2 linked regions of the Danio rerio genome follow. The protein of the gene in region 1 purifies or fractionates together with the protein of each later gene. This does not show direct contact. Links are inferred from orthologs where the notes say so. Each region holds a gene or a part of one and is shown in the gene's direction. Other genes may lie near its edges.

Region 1 (3,518 bases):
TTACTGCCAGCAAGAGGTTTTTTGAATTAAATCACTTTCATACATTGAAAGTGATTGCACAACTTTTCTGCTTTTAAAATTTTGTGATACAGTAGTTCACCCAAAACTTTGAGTTTTTTCAGCATTTGATTGCAAAAGAAGATATTTTGAAGAAAGCTGAAAACTCTTAACTTGTATAGTAGGAAAAACAAACACTATAGAAGTCTCTAGTAACAGGACCAAACTTCTTCAAAATATCTTCTTCAATGGAGAGAGAATAAGGAATAATAAAGGAAAAGGCGTCTGAAAATGTTTTGATCCTGTCCTCTTTTGACTACTTACAGAGGTAGTCTGCATTTGATTGCTTTTGTTGTGTAAAATTTAATTTTATTGAATTCATTTAACCCTCTGGGGTCTGAGGGTGTTTTGGGGCTCTGGAGAAGTTTTGACATGCACTGACATCTGTGTTGTTTTCAGTATCTTAAAAACATATAAATGGCTAAAGTGTGATAACACTGTAAACAGCACAAGTTGGGCTACAATAATACCGAAGCAGCATGTTTGTATGTGTTTGTGTTTTTGAGAAAGAAACGTTTATGCGTGGTTAGTGAAAAACTAAAATTTTGAAGTCACTGAAACAAGGCCACGAAACACACAGAGAACATTTGTGCACATTTCTCATCTCTTTGTGTTTTGTATTTGTGGAGTTTTAGTGCATTTTACCGACGCGTTTCTAAAAGCAGATCACGGAGAGAGAAAAGACAGAATGCGTACACTGTTTGTTTTCCTTATTTTGCAAAAGCAAAGACGTTTGTTGTTGTTGTGAGTGTACACAACAAAAAGTAGACACATAACAGATTCAATTGATGTATTGATCTTATCTGTACGATCAAAACTGAAAGTGTTATTTAAGTTCATTTCAGCAGTTTGACGCCACCACAGGTCAAAACGCACATACGCGGTCTTCGACCCCAGAGGGTTAAATGGTCACAAAAGAGTACCTACTTTCTATGACCTAAGATGAAACACCGAAATTAAAAAGGTATACAAATATATGAAAAACTTTTTATTTTAAATGATAAATGCAGACATATTCAAAGAAACCACAAAGTCAGTTAATGTGTGTGTGTGTGTTGATCAGGGGTGCCCAAACTTTTCTTATGAAGGGCCAAAAACCAAACTTGATTAAGGCCAGTGGGCTGAAGGTAAACATTCAGCAGTTGCCATAGGTAATTTCCTTATTTATTTAATAATATTTAAAAATAGCTAGAAAACATTGCTTTATATTAACTAATGCAGCATATTTTTATTGCATTAAATTTTTAATAAACTTATTACAGTAAAAACTATTACATTTATAACAGAATGGAGTTACGCTTGATTTGCTTACTGATGTCGTCTGCATAATCCATCGAGTGACGTTATTTACATTTTTTAAAATCTGACTTATTTACAACATTTAAGTGAAACGTTTACAATCCGCTTGTTAAGTGTGACGTCACGCGAAGCGGCTTCCGGGTCCAAGCGCTTTATTCAACTGAATGGGGAGACTCATGAAATGGTAATAATAAATGTTTACAAAGTGATTTAATGCTTTCGAAAATCACGATTACAGTATATATGTCCATGCCTAATATCCAATGGCCAGAAAGTAATAATTTTTTTTATATATTGTTAAATTTTTGGTATTTGTGATGCAGCAAGCCCAGAGATTGTTGTGTACACTATGATTTTATATAAAATTAACTTTTAATGTGTGATAGGAATAAAACGTGATCATAAACGAATGATTTCTCCACTCAGATGAATGGCGGCTTGGACCCGGAAACAGTATACATACGTCACCAACACGTCATCACTTAACAAGCGGATACATTCATCAAACAATAAAACAAACAAAAAAAGGTTTCGTCAAATTAAAAATGATGATCTCTTTTAAAGGCATTCACCCAAATCCTTTACATCCTTCTCACTCTCTTGGGATGGCATGGTGGGCCAAATAAAAGGTTACAATAGGCCAACTTTGGCCCACAGGCCCTACTTTGGGCATCTCTGGTTTAGATCATGGTACGTGCAATCTGTTTTCATCTGTCTTTTTTCTTTCTGTTTTTCTTCTGCAGTCCTAAAGAGGGCGCCAGTGTTGACCAAGACATGGAGTGCATCAAGTTCTTCTCTTTCTCTCTGATTGACGGATATGTGTCTTTAGTGATGGACACAGACGCACAGAGACAGTAAGACCTTCACATAGACACAGCCAGGTTGTAAAAACAAGATTTACCACTCAAAGACCCGCCCACTCATATTTCTTGACTGGACAAGAGAAACCAATTGGTCATAAAAAATAATTTGACTAAAAAACATTATTATATGTGTATGGATATATTAAGATTTAATACTTGTATTTGAAAAAGTGTCTTCTGGAGCAATTTTAGAATATGCATGACTGACTAAATTGAAAGTTCTTGTATTGGCTTTTATTAGTTTTGTTGTCATTTGTACTTTTGTAATTTTTTCTATAGTGGATGTTAAAGAAAATCTTCTGTTGTGTAAAATATTTATTAAACATTTATTAACACTGTTGCCAAGAATATAGCCAATGCTGCTGATAAGTAGTTAAAACGCACACACGTACACACACACACACACACACACACACAAAATCAAACAAATGAATGGACAAAAAACAGTATGATCCTCACAGAGCCACCAACAGATTATCAAAGCATTATATGTTTCACTATTCAGTCTGAGAAATATATAATTGTGTGTAGGCATGGCTCGGTTGAAGATTCTGACAGTATGATAACCTTGGATAAAAATATAATGGTTTCACGGTTTGACGGTATTGTGAATACTGCTCTAAAACATATTCTTTTTAAATGTCTGGGTTAAAATTATAAACTTTTTCCCCTTTTGAACACAATATATATATATATTTTTTTTTTGAGAAACACTTAAAATACTTTGGGGCAGTAAACATGTCAGGCTGAATAATGAAAATGAATCATTGACTTCTGCTGTTCTTATTTGTTTCAAAAACACAGCTTTCTTTACACTTTAAAATGGCATCTTTGGATATCTTTTCTGCTGGAGATGTTGTCCTAAAAAATGTAGATAAAAAATCTTACACATACCTTAGAAAAGTTATTAAAAAATTTTTTTGGCGGTTTTAAAAACTTGACTTTTCTTATCCACGGTATACCTTAAAAATGGTTTTTGTCCCATGCCTAATTGTGTGTGTCTGTGTGTCAGATTCCCAGCTGATCTTCTGTTCACCAGCTCCTCTGGTGAGCTCTGGAGAATGGTGAGAATAGGAGGGCAGCCTCTTGGATTCGGTGAGATACATTGTTTTTTTCTTTTTATTTATTTATTCATTTATTTCTGTTCTACATTCAAAGGCAACATATGTCATCATTTAAAAATAGTTTCACTTAAAGGGATAGCTTACCCAAAAATGAAATTGTCGTTTACTTTACACTCACTCTGGTGGTTGTACATTTTCATGATTTTGTCTGCTTTTGTCAAACACAAAACAAGAA
Region 2 (3,518 bases), on another chromosome or scaffold:
CACATTTACATGCTGCATTAAAAGATCACACTTTTAGGGTAATGACTTTATAAAACAGGGGTGGCCAAACTCGTCTAATAAGCTTGTTTTATCCTGCCCCTTTTCGCTCAGCCGCATGACAGAATATCACAAGTAAATTAAACAGGGGGCTAATAATTCAGGGCGGCTAATAATTCTGACTTCACAGGGTTCAACGCTAAGGACATTTTCTACTGGCCCGACTGGACCAGCAGTTCAGATTTTTACTGGCCCTGCCAAAATTTTCACTGGCCCCACCAAAATAAATAAATAAAAAATAGCTATTTTTTTAGCCACATATTTTAAATAATGTGTCAAAAATAATGTCGTTGAATCTAGAATTTAAATATTTTTAAAATGTTAAAATATTTAGCAGTAAAATACAGCAGTATGGAAAATGTGCAGGTATTTTATTGCTAAACAAAAAGTGGCGGACTTAAAAGTGATGGAAAATTATGCAAAACATCACTTCATTTTTTTCGATGTGTTGTACCCATGTAAATATCTTTTTCCACAACGTTGGAAACAGACGTTTTCTTTTAGCCGCATAATTTGATGTTGTCGTCTCTTCACTGTTCTGGTTTTTACCAGGTTGTGAAAAAATTAACGTGCTAACAACAACCAATCAGATAAAAGGAACCAAAAAGCAATATGGGGTTCACGACTTTACAGAAAACGTAGCATTCTGAGACTTAAAAGCACAAATTGTTTCTCAGTTCTAAGACTGTATTTGCATACAATTGACAGTAGCAGGCAAATAAAAATTTGATGACAAGGCAGCACTGGCCTGATCGGGCCAGTAACGATTCTCTTTACTGTCCCGAACATCTCTCATGCTGGCCCCGGGCCATCGGGCAGTCCTTATTGTTGAGCCCTGCTTCAACTTTGTATGTCTATAGGTGGGCCCACACAGTTTGCGCTACGCCACTGTTTTTTGTTGGACTTCCCACAAGTTTCAATGGAAATAAAACATTTATTCTATTCTACTGTATTCCATTTCAGAAATCGAACACTGCAGTCGAGTACGTCGCTGCCCACCTGTCAAAGATTAACGGTCTGGACTGGCACCCTGATAATGAGTACATCCTGGCTACTTCAAGTCAGGACAACTCTGTTCGGGTGAGTATAATCATAATTATTGATCATATTCTTAAATAGTTTTAGCTGCAGTTTTGCTGATTCTGTTTTTATACTGATTTATCTCAAAAGTTCTGGGATTACAGACAACCCCGGAAGTACCTTGATATCTTATCCTGTCAGGTGCCTGTGTGGAAGGCCAGATACACGGTAAAGTTTAAATATGCAGTTTAAATATATATTTTTCTTGATATTTTCATTTTAAATACTTTGTTTGTTTCTGTTGTGATGATCTCTATCAGGCAAATGTTTAAAATGATTACGTATTTTTGTTTTAGTCTCAAAAATACAATAAAAACAATATGGAAAAATGGGTGGCACATTGGCTCAGTAGTTAGCAGTCGCCTTACAGCAAAAAGGTCGCTGGTTCGAGTCCTGGCTAGGCCAGTTGGCTTTTCTGTGTGGAGTTTGCATGTTCTCCCCATGTTGGTGTGGGTGCTCTAGTTTCCCCCACAGTCCAAACACGCTCTATAGGTGAATTGAATAAGCTAAATTGACTAGTGTATGAGTGTGTATGGGTGTTTTCCAGTACTGGGTTGCAGCTGGAAGGGCATCCGCTGTGTAGCTTATCCAGTCCTTCCAGCCGCAACCTAGTACTAGGAAACACTTATACACACTCACATTCACACACACACACTATGGTCAAATTAGTTAATCCAATTCACCTTTACCACATATCTTTTGAAATGTGGGGAACACCCGGAGGAAACCAGGGAGAACATGCAAACTCAACACAGAAATGCCAACTGGCCTGGCTGCCACTGGAACAAGCAACCTTCTTGCTGTGAGGTGACAGTGCTAACCACTAAATCACCGTGCTGCTCATTAGTGAATTTTTAAAGTTTATATTTTTATTTGTATTTACGCTGTTAATATAAGAGATGGAAAAATGAAAATTAGTAATTCAAATAATGGAGAATCTGCATGTTGTAAAGTACTCACTGCATCCTCTCCTTTTCTTCTGTCTAGCCTTTCTCAAATGGGCTGGTTACAGTGATGGTTCCTCAGCTTCGGCGTGAGAACAGCCTCCTCCTGTGGAGCACACTGGAGCTGAACAGCCCTGTTCATGCGTTTGTGGGCCATGACGATGTTGTGTATGAGTTTCAGTGGAGGCCGCAGAAAGAAGGTGAGCAGAGCTGGCAGTCGAAGGAAATTAAGGAATGTTATTTACCACAAAATCCCCAGATTGATTTTGTGTTTGAATTGACAATTATTAGTCTGAACCCTTGTCATCAAAACCAAAACTGCCTCTTCTCTCCTCCCACCACATCACATGACAACCTCAAAACGTTATGCATTTATGAAATGCGCTTTACACAAGTGAGTGGGCTTGACAAACCACCAGTAGAAACACTTTTCTCTCTCTAAAAAAACACTAAAAAAAATAAAGAAACTATGAACAACTGATCTGTAAAGTGTGAGTTAATATATTAGTTAAGTGTTAGTTATCAGTTTATGTATGTTATTGGGACGTTATTCTAAAGATGCAACTATTCCTCATTTACTTACAGTTAATAAATAAAGAATAGTTGCAACTTTAGAATAACGCCCTATAACATATATACACTAATAACTGATACTGAACAAGTCTTTAGTAAGTAATTTACTAACAGCTTGTTTATGATCTATTACTTATTAATTAGGTATAGTTATAACATTAAAAAACTGTTACAAAGTCATTTAAAGCTTGTTAACTAACAGCTTGTAAGTTATATATTGGCTATTTATAAGGCACAGTTATAAATAATTAACAAACTATTGACTTATATAACAAGTCATTTATAACTCACTAACTAACAGTTTATTAATGGACTATTAACTAGTTATAACGAAATAGTTATACTAAATTGTTACCGTGAATTTTTGACTAAATTGACTACATCACATCTGTGTGTGAATGTGTATGGGTGTTTCCCAGTACTGGGTTGCAGCTGGAATGGTATCCACTGCGTAAAACATCTGCTGGAATAGTTGGTGGTTCATTCCACTGTGGCAACTCCTAATAAGTAGTGGACTGAGCCGAAGGAAAATTAATAAACCAATATTTTGTGTCTGTGACCATAGAACTGGAGAGTTTTTAATAAATCATGCATACCAACTTTAACTATAATTTTTTTTCTGCTGTCCGTCTTTTGTGCATAAGCTGTATCTGCCTCAAAACAATGATCAATAATTGATGTCCATGTGCTATAATCAATCCTTAATAAAGTTTAGCAATTACTCAATAGTCAATTAATTGCTTTCATCTATAATGGAGATAATTCTGGCAATAAATGCTTCATTTTCACTTTCATAGCAAAAATATAATTGTATTTGTGCACTGTTCATATATATCTTAGGGTCCAAAGACTGCCAGCTGGTCA

Evidence for each region. The genes of interacting proteins can lie anywhere in the genome.
Region 2: the proteins of castor1 (region 1) and wdr59 purify together in Homo sapiens (affinity purification with mass spectrometry; 3 studies listed by BioGRID and IntAct, counting the BioPlex papers as one, with this or other methods). This does not show direct contact. The link is inferred for Danio rerio from reciprocal best matches to the Homo sapiens genes CASTOR1 and WDR59.

The regions. Positions count from the first base shown.
Region 1 is NC_133180.1:12,719,064-12,722,581, reverse strand, and holds part of castor1 (cytosolic arginine sensor for mTORC1 subunit 1), read left to right. Parts: intron 1-2,099; coding exon 2,100-2,210; intron 2,211-3,231; coding exon 3,232-3,314; intron 3,315-3,518. UniProt on the Homo sapiens protein: Functions as an intracellular arginine sensor within the amino acid-sensing branch of the TORC1 signaling pathway. As a homodimer or a heterodimer with CASTOR2, binds and inhibits the GATOR subcomplex GATOR2 and thereby mTORC1.
Region 2 is NC_133193.1:7,039,726-7,043,243, forward strand, and holds part of wdr59 (GATOR2 complex protein WDR59), read left to right. Parts: intron 1-1,020; coding exon 1,021-1,137; intron 1,138-1,227; coding exon 1,228-1,305; intron 1,306-2,124; coding exon 2,125-2,281; intron 2,282-3,494; coding exon 3,495-3,518. UniProt on the Homo sapiens protein: As a component of the GATOR2 complex, functions as an activator of the amino acid-sensing branch of the mTORC1 signaling pathway. The GATOR2 complex indirectly activates mTORC1 through the inhibition of the GATOR1 subcomplex.